Arabidopsis thaliana: one gene and its partner. The protein of the gene in region 1 interacts with the protein of each later gene in a pairwise test. Each region holds a gene or a part of one and is shown on either strand. Other genes may lie near its edges. The genes, in order: AT4G27585 and NHX1.

Region 1 (5,984 bases):
TTTTTTCTTGATAACCTCTTATGATTGTTTTAAAGACTAACCATAATTAAAATTAAAGACATTCGAATATAAACTAACTTCAGAGTTGATAAGCGTCATACAACTGAATTACATATGTGTCCCAAGAAAGATTTTACGAACAATGCGGTGACCATTGAACTACGTACCATCAATCCGTTGCGAGATGCAAACCTTATCAACTATATAGAAACTTTGGTATTTATGTATATATTAAGAGATCCAATGAAAGTTACGTACGTGATTTCTTGGAGCTTTATTAGAAACTTAGTAGAGTCATATATAGACGTGATTCAAAAGGAAAGGGATCTAGTGAAGACCTTCTTCACGGCTTTCCATGTGAATGAAGAGGTTCTAATAAGTGACATAGGAGGTCTTATACTGAATCTCGGAGGCGTTGTAGAATACGTATAAAACGCCGATGATTTATCGGTATCAAATGAAGTTTTAATAATAGTGTCTTCTTTTACGACAATGCAATCATCAACGCTCTCTGGATTATTATTCTCCTCTTCCTCTACATTCCAAAACCGAGCTTCTTTTCGCTTCTTTTTCACCATCGCTAACACATCGAGTTTGTTACAAATCCCCCACACCGTCACCTTCTGATTGTAGTAGTCTACTTTCACTGAATATATTCCTGATTATTCGTTATAAAGAAAATATAATAAGCTTATTAATTATTTATGCATAGTCGTCTATGATATCATAACCATTAAAACTATTGATTACGTACCTTTGAGATGAGAAAGAGCCCTCTTGACTTTCTTCTCGCAACCGTAAGAATACAAAGGCACCATCATTTCTACGTACTGTGCTTCCACCTTGTTGTACACCGGCACGATTTGAAGATCACCCATTATACTTTAACTATGTATTTTGGTCGAATTCCAATTTCTAACTCAAACTATGCACACTTACCTTTATATATAGTAGAGATACACGAACTTAGGTGTGTGCATATATATATTGACGACAGTGATTGGGTTTCATGCAGAAGAGATGAGGTGCATGTTGTTGAAGTCGTCATGTTATAAGCTTTTTAGGATCTAGTGACTTGGATTTAGTGTAAAGTGTGTCACCACTATTCTCTTTGTTAGATATAGTTCACAAAATATAACCTTCTTTAGACTTTGGATCCCATGTTACATGTTCATCTTTTACTTTATCCCACCAAAAGAAAACTTGGATTGAATCTTTTGAAATCTAAGCAAAAGATAGAAATTATTTTCTTAGAAAAGATTAGACAAAAGAAAGAGAAGACACTTTTGAAAGGTGAAATGCGCTTCGTCATTACGAAGCTTTTAATTGTTGCCATTTTATTTCTTGACGTCGGTATATCTAAAAGGGAACGGCGCCGGATCTTTGATGACTCACACACAGTTCTTCACCATGTGAAACCCATTAGACTTGTTTTTTCCATGCATTCTGAATTTTAAACCGCTTTTTTCCATTATAGTAAAGTTTAACACCCCTTCATGGCTTTTGTAATGTCTAAATTTTTCAATATCCAAAACGTCGTATAATAATGAATTAATGACTATCTACAACTATCAAAATTTCATGATATAAGTTTATTTTCTTGAAATAAAATATGTATTTTATTCCTTACAATATAAATATTCATTATAATTCACTCACATCATTACATGATTTTTAGAAACTAAAAGAAACCATTACCCAAATTTTTTATATTGGCTCCGATTGGTGACCAAAGAAATGAACAATAGGAATTTTGGGGAGGAACAATTTTGTTCTATCATTCTTTTTTTTTGAGGAATGATGAGGAAAAATGTAGGATCCACCTGTCTGAAAATGGATCAAAAATTCCTTGCAAATGGTAAAAAATACCGAGGAACAAAAAGGAACACGACTTTCCTATTCATTGTTTTCCTCAAAAGTGGTTACCAATCGGAGCCATTATTTTCTTGCAATTTCTCGATTCACAATGAATTTTGGATTCAACTAAAAAAAACTCTTTAAAATAACAACCAAAACAATGAATAATAAATTAATAACAGATGGATATTTCAGGCGTCTGAATGGGCTAGAGATAAGCCCAATAATAACAGCAGGTACCAAACTATCCACTAAAGCCCAATAAAATATTTGCCTCCTCTCCACGCATATTGCGTGAAATCTTCGTGATCCGGCGAAGAAACAGTACCTGAATATTGACTACGCATTATAAGAGGTTTTGTTTTGGGGTTTTTCCTTCTTCACATATCATTTTTCTGATTCTCCCACGAAGATGAACCACCTCGTTCGTAAAAGCTCCGTCGGTTACTCCGCCTTGAGGTCCGTTTCGTACCTCCGTCAATCTGCCGTTACCTCTCCACCTCCGATTTTCTCCGCCGCCGCTTCAACCGTTCGCCAGTTCACTTCCGCCGGCTATCCTTCCAACAGGTTTTTCACCTTACGATTTCGTTTTTGAAGCATTTGGTTTTAGATTAGAGTAGAGAACCTTAGGATTGATTTATGGATGTTCGTTGTAGTTTTCAATTGACGATTTGGTTTTAGATTAGAGTAGAGTAGAGAACCTTAGGATTGATTTTTGAATCATTTATGTTTCTCACCTTACGATTTCGTTTTTGAAGCATTTGGTTTTAGATTAGAGTAGAGAACCTTAGGATTGATTTATGGATGTTCGTTGTAGTTTTCAATTGACGCCGCCGACGAATTGGGGAATCCGGATAGTTCCGGAGAGGAAGGCGTTTGTGATTGAGCGATTCGGTAAATACGCTACGACGTTGCCGTCGGGGATTCATTTCCTCATTCCGTTCGTGGATCGTATTGCTTATGTTCATTCTCTCAAGGAAGAAGCTATCCCGATTCCGAATCAGACTGCGATTACTAAAGACAACGTTAGTATCCACATCGATGGTGTTCTCTACGTTAAGGTCATCTTCTTTTCTTTCACCAATCCATTTTCCTCTTGTTTTTTTTTTTTTGTTTTGAGTTCTTACTTTTGTGATTCTTTACTGATTTCTTCTTGTTGATCTGGGAATTTTTTTTTGCAGATTGTGGATCCTAAGTTAGCTTCTTATGGCGTTGAGAGTCCTATCTATGCTGTTGTACAGCTGGCTCAGACCACAATGCGTAGTGAGCTTGGTAAGATCACTCTTGATAAGACCTTTGAGGAACGAGACACTCTCAACGAGAAGATAGTGGTTTGTTCTCCAGCCTTCTTTATCTCTGTTTTGAAGTGTTAGGACTCACCGTACTTAAGCTCCTGTGCATTTCAAAGAATTTAGAATCCGCTAAGTTGATCAATTTCAAAGTCAAGTCACGTTAGCTTGAATATTGCTGTTGGTGTTACTCCCTACTGAGCATTGCGGCTTGAGCTGTTTAGTTGGAAAAATTAGTCACATCTGGCAGTGTGTTTGTATACCACAAGTTGGGTATATGGAATTTAGATTCAGCTGGGGGATTTAGTCATGTTGTATTTGTTGGATATCCGAACTTATTTGCGTCTCTTTTTCAAATCATAAGGAGACATGATGGTTAGAGGAAGTATATCCATTGAAGAAGAAAATATATGATGGATTTTTGAGATGTATATATATTCTTGCAGGAAGCCATCAATGTTGCTGCAAAAGACTGGGGTCTTCAGTGCCTTCGTTATGAGATAAGTAAGTTGTTCGTGTTTTTTCTTTTCCGGTGATAGTTACATATCTGTTTTTTCCTATTTCTAATTCATGTTTTTCCAGGGGATATTATGCCCCCTCATGGAGTGCGAGCTGCTATGGAAATGCAAGCTGAAGCTGAGCGTAAAAAGAGAGCCCAGATTCTTGAGTCTGAAGGTAACCTTGACTGACTTGTCTTTGAGAACTCATCTTCGAGACTGAGCAGTGCTTGCTACGGCTCATAATGTTATTCTTGGCTAAAATCTATCTGTTATTCCTTTTGAGTTTCGTTTTTTGCATTTGGAAAAGAAGAGGCCTGCTTAGCATGTTTCTAATCATTGCTTTACTAAATTTGACAGGAGAAAGGCAATCCCATATCAACATTGCTGATGGTAAGAAAAGTTCTGTAATCTTGGCATCTGAAGCAGCAAAGATGGACCAGGTGAATCGAGCACAAGGTTAGTGAGCCATTAAGATCGAGAACACATCAGAGTTGCATGTTATGTCCATTGTTAGTTAGTTTCACTAGAAGAAAAAGTTAGTTTTCATTTGCTTATTTTTCCACTGTACACTGATGAATGCTTGGTGCATGAGGAACTATTTTCGTTACTGCTAATGCACAATATGGTTGCTATCTCCCACTGGTTTTTTCTTATATTATCCTTGATGATGTTCTACAGGTGAGGCAGAAGCAATACTAGCTAGAGCACAAGCAACTGCGAAAGGCCTGGTCTTGTTATCTCAGTCCCTCAAGGAAACTGGGGGAGTAGAGGTGAGTAATTGAGATCAAGCAGAATATTGGTATTCATAGTTTTGATTTAACTAACTAGCTTTGATTAATTAATTCTTCATAGTATTTACACAAATTGCTAAATGTGTACGTCTTTATTCTCTTTGGATAAAGGGTTCTGTGTCTTCTTGAACTTTCCAACTTTTGGAATTTTAAGTCATATCACTATTATTGCTGTGTTTAGGTTTCTTAACTTTTTCTGTCCAAAATATGATCTCATACGGTGTCACTGTAAAATTTGCAGGCGGCGAGTTTGAGAGTTGCAGAGCAATACATTACAGCCTTCGGTAACATTGCCAAGGAGGTAAAAACAAATCAATTACTGTAATCTCTTCCAGTCTCTTGGCATAGCTCGGGCTTATGTAATGTTCATGTTTTTTGTTTTTTTTTGGGGTTTAGGGTACGATAATGTTGCTTCCAAGTGGTGCTTCAAATCCTGCTAGCATGATTGCTCAAGCTTTAACAATGTACAAAAGCCTTGTCATCAATGGTCCAAGCAAAGATCACCAAGAAACACAAGCACTTGATGAAACAGATTTGGAAGAGTTGGAAGACATGGGTGAGAAACATATATCAGAAGGCTCTAATAACCGATCAGGCTCAATATCATTTGACACAGAGAAACCAGGTCACACCGGTGAACCACGATTTTCTCTTCAGAACCGCAACAAGGATCCGCAGTAGGCAGCCGAACCGGGGATGAGATAAATTCTTTGGGCTTGAGAAAACTGGAAACCATTTTTCATCTTTCAAATATGAGGCAGTAACCATCTTTTCCGTTTGAATAGCTAGAATATCATCACTTTGCATATAGAAACGAATCTGAACATCTGTTCTCCGATAAGAATTTTCCTACTGGATTTGTTATGAACATGGTCCTTGTGTTCTTATTCACCTTTATTCCCATTGCATTGCTTATTACCTGTACCCGTTATTATTCGGTTCGGTTGCAGAGTATTGCAATCTAACCAGGAGGAGCTTGTGAATCCATGAGATGTCAGAATTTGCCAGCAGAAAAGAAGCCATTGCCCCCTAAACAGGATATAGAAGAATGGTGGAGATAAAAGTTGTCCTCCGGATAAATAGGTCCTCACAGAGAATCAAAGGTGTAATGACTTGTGATTCTGAAATTAACCAAAACTTTACCTGAAATAGCTTTAGTCCATACGATTCCTGTATGAATCTGTTCACAGCCCTCTCCTCCATTTGCTCAGCCTCCGGTTATAAAATTAAAGAGTTTTGGCCTCTTCAAAGTCAGCTTTGTCTAGAGGAGTTCTCCTTTTCTTTCTTTCTTTTTTTGCTCCACAGCTCTTCCCATTGTAAGTTTTGTTTTCCAAACTAATCCTTTCAATCCAAAAACCATGGGAGCCTGTGCGAGCAAACCTAAGGAATCTGACATCGTCGAAGGCTCTGTCTCGACCGAAAATGCTGTTGTTGAGTCCAAGAATGCCGCGACCGAGACAGATGCCACATTAACTCAGGTGAGTCCAATATATTCTTTCTAAATAATTTAGTAGATGATCTTAAAGATTCTTGAATTGAATAACATG
Region 2 (6,841 bases), on another chromosome or scaffold:
TATATAAGTTTTGATACTATATTCGAATAATGTAATATACCTTTTCAATTTGTATTCTTTAACTAATTTAAGCTAACTAATATATTTGCTAATCTTATACCTATCAAAACCGACTATCGTTTCTTATCTATATATACATTTTTGCAGCCATTTTTTGAAATAAATCTTGTAGTTGAGACTTATTTACAATGGCTGCCACTGAATTTTAATGTTTGTTTTTGATAATTAAAAAGAAAATCTTCGAATTAAATATTTGACATTTAACAATCTTCCCAAAATCTCTCCACATTAACTACACGATTATTTACTAAAATAATACTTCTAAAATATTTAATATCATTTAATTACTACAAAATTATCATTTTTGATATTGCTTTTCTCCATAACTATAACAATTCGATTATAATCATCAAAGCGAAGAGATATAATCTGATAGCATTTAATTACTACAAAATTACAAAATATTTAGACAATGATTCATAAACATATCATAAATAAGATCAACATTAATAAAATAAATGGTTTTCTTTTTTACAGGACGGGTTTGGCAGGATGTTACTTAATAACATTTGTAAACTATAAAATAAAATTATTTTATAAATAGATACAATTTGTAAACTTTTATATATACTAACTTTAAAAAATAAATTGTTCCCGCGGTATACCGCGGGTTAAAATCTAGTTAGATTATAAGTTTCAAGACCTACCAAATTTTGATATCATTAGCCATTAGGTTCACTAAATTTTTGTTTTGACATAAAGAAATAATTCTTTATTAATATTTTTGTCCGAAATCGAACCAAACCGTACCAATCCGATCCTCAAGTTCGAAGCAAAAACCAAATTCAAAACATAAACAAATGTGTAGTTTGTGTTACAACAAAACAAATATGAATATAATTACATACATCAATCAAACACTTCAAAGTTGCCATGTTTTGCTTTCTGCTCTCAAAACGTTAGGACAGATTTCTGTCCTCACAAACAATATTACAAATGGATAATTTACACAAAAGCATAATTTGAATCACCCTTTTCTACCAAAAAAAATCAAAGCTTTTCTTCCACGTTACCCTCAAGCCTTACTAAGATCAGGAGGGTTTCTCTCAGTTGGAGAACCTGGAACAAAGGGTACAAAGCCACGACCTCCAAAGACGGGTCGCATGAAGGAGTCATCAAATTGTCTCCAGTAGTAATGCACGGTTCGAGTGGGCCGTGTCAAGAAGCCACGTATACTGTCAGGCCGAGGCACATTGTGGTTCCCTGAAGGCTCAATGAACGAGTCTTGGTCCAACAAAGGGATATGTATGGATTTTGGGGTGTTGTCATCAGATAACATGCTCGTGGTGGCGTTCTGGTGCGGTAATAGGTAGCTTATGAGTGGTTTGGTCAGCATACCAAACACCTGAAAACAAGGTTCAAGAGAATCTATTAACCAAATGTCCAATTCAATTAAGAAATATTATGTAACTCATTTGATCATCCAGAGATTTCTTACCACTGTGCTAAAAAGACAGACAGTTATCGTACTCGTGATCATGATTGCATTCCCGCGTACATCTGTGTGCCCGGCCCTTGTAAACTACAATAGAAACAAGTGTTAAATGATGATTTGTGTCATTTGAAGCTTCATAGAGAGTATTTAAAGACATTCTTTTTATACCTTGTTGTATGCAAGAGCCATAGATACAGCACCTCTCATGAGACCAGACCACCAAATCACAACCTAAAGAATGGGAAAAAATGATAGATATAAATAGCTGAAATCCAGAAGAATTATTGAATCTATTAGTACCAAGTAGAATGATACATACCTGCATGTTAAAGTTGATTTTCTCGCTTTGATTCTTCTTGGCTAAGTTAGATAGAAACGATAACGGAAAGACGAACGCTGCTCTTCCAACCATGACCAGACCCATTAGGATTGAGCTCACTGCGATCGATGTTCCCGGTGTGTCACTCACGGATCTCCACTTGTCAATGTCCAAGGCATCCATTCCAACATACAAGAAAATAAATGTCTCCGCAAGAAATGACAAAGTTGCAAAGGTATGCCTGTTTCATCGAAAAAAATCATAAGATAATCATTGGGAGGTAGAAAGTGTTAATCTCAGCAAAAGGCGGAGAAACTAAAGTTTGCATACTTTGTTGTTATTCTTGAGCTCTCCGTTACATTGTGCCATGTGTAATGGGACATCACAATACCACAGAAAAACACAGTGAGGATACCGCTCAAGTCGAAAAGCTGCAACCAAATTAATATAACATCAATATAATTTGTGTTTGAATGCAACTGAATGAATATGTTCGTGTTATTTAAAAGAATCTAACCTCAGCAAGCATATAAGAAAGATACGCCATAAGCATCATAAGGGCAACCTCTCGGTCAGTTGAGTGCCTGTGACAATTAATGTGAGGCCATCTACGTTAGACCAAACAGGAAACAACTTAAAGAAAACAAGTCACATATATGACGTTAAATATGTACCTTCCAAAGTATAGCTTCTTGATAACATACGCACTTATCAGACCGGTCTGCAAGATGAATAACAAAGATGTGAACACCAGAGCGTGCATATAGCAGCTACAAGAAAGAATGGCAGGGAAGAAAACAATGGACTTACTGCAGCACCAAGCAAGGTACTTAGGAGAAACAAATACAAGAAGTTTCCAAGAAGATGAAAAGCAGCTTCGTGGTTTAGGTGAGTGAGATCAAAGCTCTGAATCGCGTTGAAGACCACAACTGACGTTGCATCATTCACAACACCCTCTCCGAATACAAGACTGTAAAGCAAAGGTGTCTCGTCTTGATTCAGAACCTATATCACAACACAACAGGAACAGAAACTTTCGGTCCACTATGTTTCAGGGTTTGTAAGTAATTTAAGTCATGTTGGAGAAAACACATTACCTGCAGTGTACATACTGAATCTGTTGCAGCAAATATGGCACCAATAGCTGAGATTCAAACACCAAAAACAAATCAAGTCTCCCGATTAAGTAAAGCAATAGGAACCAAAAAGAAGCCATTAGTTCAGGCCTTACCAAGATAATCACCCAAGTCAAAGGTTCCAATGTCCAACTTCTTAAAGAACTGTGTTACACCTGTTTCAAGAACCACCAGAAAATCAGTAGAGATATACAAAACTATCTCGACCTAATCCAAAAAGCCGCATTCAGCGGTGTTTCAGCCAATCGTAAAGCGAAGTAACCTACCTAGAGATATGATTGTGCAAGAAATAATAGTCCCAACAGCACCAAAAAGCATAATAGTCACGAAATTGCGGAAAAACTGCTTCTTTTTTACTTGAAACCTGAAATAGACAACAACAAATCTGAGAAAGATCCATGACAAAGACAAATCCAGGACCACACTTACTTGCACGTGTATAAATCTAACTACTTCAAAAAAAGACATCATGCCCTCTTTTCTTTATAACAATCACAAGTACTAGAAAAAGTTGATGTATGACAGGTATTTATAGAAGTAGAGCTTAAGCTTACTAATCAACATCTTTAAAGCGTTGTACTAACTTTATCACCTAGAATCACATAATGCATACTTTTCAAAACTAAGTTTTTTCTTTCAATCTGTTTTATGTAACTTTTGTAGGTAAAACCCGTGCAACTAAACGTATCATATAGCATGAGACCCTACCAAACTAAGTCCTACATTAAAAGATATATCCCAACATAGAGGAAAAGGCTCAAATGGATGTAAAAAAAAAGACTGACCCTGCATTGAATATAATGGGTGGCAAAAGATATATGAAGAAAAGATCTTCACTAAAGACGAGAAGATGCGAGCTTTTTCCTTTACTAATCAACAAAATGGTAACACCAGTGCCTAGCCCCTGCAACCAAATAGCTCAAATGTCATTCAAGTTGGAACTCAGTAATTACTCTTTTCAATTGAGTGAACTTACAATCAACAAGGCGGTGATGGATTCGTTCATCCATCTATTCTCTTCCAAAAGATGACCAAGAACAATACAAGCACAAAGAAGTGCAACAAAGAGATTCAACGCAACCACAGAAGCGTGATCAGATGTCGATAACGAAGGCAGTTTCGACACTAGAGAATCCAACATTGTTATCTTCTTCTAGATCCAACAAACTTCCTCTTTCCAGATTTGATCCAAGAACATGAACAACTATTCAGATTTTGGATCAGCAAAATCTGGAAAAAAAAGTCTCTTTTATCTTTCCGTGCTGTCCACTGAAACCATTCCTGTTTTCAAGAAAACAGAGCTGAGACTAAACAGTGAAGCTGTGTAATGTATAGCATGAATCAGCTTTGACTATAAAAAACACACAAAAAGTGAATCCAAATCTGAGACTTTTGATACAAACAACAAAAAGCACAAATCCCACAAAAGGCTAATATTATTAAATGATGACAACATAAAACCAAATTCTCAAAATTTCCTATTTTTGGTAATAGCACAATATGAAATTAGGTCGGAACTTTAATAACCCAGATTTCAAATATCTCCCAACAACAAACAACAAACACAAAAACTTCAAATGAAAAAAAAAAAAAAAATTGGTGGATCTGATCTGAATTGCTTTACCTTGAACAACTTCTGGGTAATCTAAATATCTTCAGTCTGATTTACAAAAGAGCCCAGAAGATCAAAATTCAAAATTTTGGAAGCTTCGAAAGCTAAAACCTGAGATTCTTCTTCTTCTTCGTCTACGAGGAACGAAACAGAGAGGCGAATTCGAAAATTGAAGGAATTGGGGAAGAAAAAAAAGGAGAAAATTACGGGACTGAGGAAATTATACGAAATTTCGATTTTTTACTGGAAATAGAGAGAGACGTGTACGGTCCCTTTTTAAGAGAGAGGGAGATAGAGAAGAGAGAAGATTCCAATTTCTAAACACAGTAGAGAGAGAAATATAAGTTACGAATAGGAGAGAGATAGAGTGTATGTATTATTCTCTGTTGTGTAAATGAAAGTACAAATGGCGAATTTATAGCCGTTGATTTAAAGTTACTATCTGAGATCTGAACAGTTTAGTGTTTGGATTTATTGTGGAACTTATCGTAGACGATAAAACCTGACTGTACTAAGATTCATGATTTATCTATTTGATTTGTCGAGTACTTTTGGTTTTGAAGACAACAAGTTTTTTTTGGGTCACCGTTTTATTTATTTTTTTGGAATTTTCTTCACCTTGATGCTGAACTTTTTTAAAATTCATAAAAAACCTAAATACATAGTGAAACTCTGATGCAGTAAAAGAAAATATTATATGGATGAATTTGTGTAGACGAAATTATTTATAAAAAAAAAGCGTTAATGGCAAACTCAATGAACCAAAACAAAAAAAAACAAAATTTTATCATGATTTCACCTTTATTTTTGGTATCATTTCTTCTAATTTTATTAGAGATATACATTTTAGGATATATATATATATATATATATATATATGAAAATGGCAATGAATTTTTTTATACAAGGTTACTATTTTCCTTATCCTTTATCAAAAAAGGTTAATTTCTCATAAGATAAATTAGGTTATAGGGATCAAAATCTCACAGAAAGCAACAATGATTTAAACTTGACCAAGCGTTGTTACCTCAATTGGTAAAGATCCTAGGCGAAACTTAGAGGTCGTTAGTTCGAGTGATGTTTGGGACGAAACTAATATTACATGTTGTGGTTTCAGGCCTGAAGGGATTACGGGTTTCGGCCCAGAACCTCCTGATATTCCGAAAAAAAAAAAAAAAAAAAAAAAAACTTAAATATAAAACTATATTTCATTCTATTAATTGTTAATTAGTTTAGATAATAACAACTCATGAAATCATTAGATTAGTGCCGGTCTGCCGGATATGCTCCTAGCTAAGTCTATGTCATAACATATAGAATCGACTAGTTAATTATCGTGGTTCTACCATTTATAGTTTACCAGATCATACTGTATGCTTGAAAATTGATAATCTTTCGGAAATGAATTTGTTTTGAATATTCTCAAAAACGTGTTCATCTTAGTACCATATCTTTTTGTCATCAAAATGGTTACGGATCTTCTAGCGTTTAATCACCCTATTTGTTTTTTTGTAATATCATTGTTTTTGTTTTTGTCAACAACAAATATTAACATGTGAATTTATATTTTAGTAATAATATAATAACTATATTAGCAAAAACTATTACCCTACATATTTTGGTATTTTGTAATGTTGTTATTTTATTATTAAAAAATGTTTTTATTTTATTAAAATTTGAGAAGGATCAATTATTGAGTTATTGTTTATTCAATCTACGTGAGGATCTGAATCTAATTAATCATACAAACTCCAAAGTCTGTCCACGTCGTAGAAATTGTTTTAAAAAGCCCATCAAAATCTTTACAAAATAAAAAGTTTCGTTAAAATTGGATTACTATTTCAACATACAAAGTTTTCAAGTATTTAACGTGCAATTTAGTGCCAACCAAGAAAGATAATCTATTATTCTATTACATAGAAAAAGGATAATATTAACATATTTTACATACCGCCGACGAGACTCATAATTTAGATAAATGTTGTTATGTAATTGTTCTTACAAACAAATTGTTTTTATTATCACGGTTATGAAAATTAAATAAATTGTCTCATGGCTTTTCAAATATTTAAAAGGTCATGTCAAATAAAGTAGGGCCAAATTTCATATAGAGCTATCCACTTATTTTGGAATTAAAGATTAGGTACAAAAATGCATCACCTACAATCTACGGATCCAAATTATATATCATCACGATTCCCAAATTTACCTATTCACGACAATATAGTTGTTCTAACTATAGTTATATATATCTATATATATATATATATATGTATTTT

The links.
Region 2: the proteins of AT4G27585 (region 1) and NHX1 interact in a protein complementation assay, tested with the Arabidopsis thaliana proteins (one large-scale study listed by BioGRID).

What each region holds. Positions count from the first base shown.
Region 1 is NC_003075.7:13,766,118-13,772,101, reverse strand, and holds AT4G27585 (SPFH/Band 7/PHB domain-containing membrane-associated protein family), read left to right. Parts: upstream 1-2,140; 5' UTR 2,141-2,269; coding exon 2,270-2,424; intron 2,425-2,674; coding exon 2,675-2,918; intron 2,919-3,038; coding exon 3,039-3,188; intron 3,189-3,592; coding exon 3,593-3,650; intron 3,651-3,728; coding exon 3,729-3,821; intron 3,822-4,003; coding exon 4,004-4,102; intron 4,103-4,324; coding exon 4,325-4,416; intron 4,417-4,678; coding exon 4,679-4,738; intron 4,739-4,833; coding exon 4,834-5,118; 3' UTR 5,119-5,403; downstream 5,404-5,984. Other genes in the region: AT4G27590 (Heavy metal transport/detoxification superfamily protein), read right to left, coding at 1-15, 113-159, 339-658, 755-878; AT4G27580 (phosphatidylinositol transfer SFH5-like protein), read left to right, coding at 5,796-5,915.
Region 2 is NC_003076.8:9,551,501-9,558,341, reverse strand, and holds NHX1 (Na+/H+ exchanger 1), read right to left. Parts: upstream 5,043-6,841; 5' UTR 4,575-5,042; intron 4,232-4,574; 5' UTR 4,092-4,231; coding exon 3,927-4,091; intron 3,855-3,926; coding exon 3,736-3,854; intron 3,315-3,735; coding exon 3,217-3,314; intron 3,106-3,216; coding exon 3,046-3,105; intron 2,959-3,045; coding exon 2,912-2,958; intron 2,820-2,911; coding exon 2,625-2,819; intron 2,536-2,624; coding exon 2,489-2,535; intron 2,399-2,488; coding exon 2,332-2,398; intron 2,246-2,331; coding exon 2,145-2,245; intron 2,056-2,144; coding exon 1,815-2,055; intron 1,727-1,814; coding exon 1,664-1,726; intron 1,583-1,663; coding exon 1,499-1,582; intron 1,406-1,498; coding exon 1,076-1,405; 3' UTR 748-1,075; downstream 1-747. UniProt on the Arabidopsis thaliana protein: Acts in low affinity electroneutral exchange of protons for cations such as Na(+) or K(+) across membranes. Can also exchange Li(+) and Cs(+) with a lower affinity.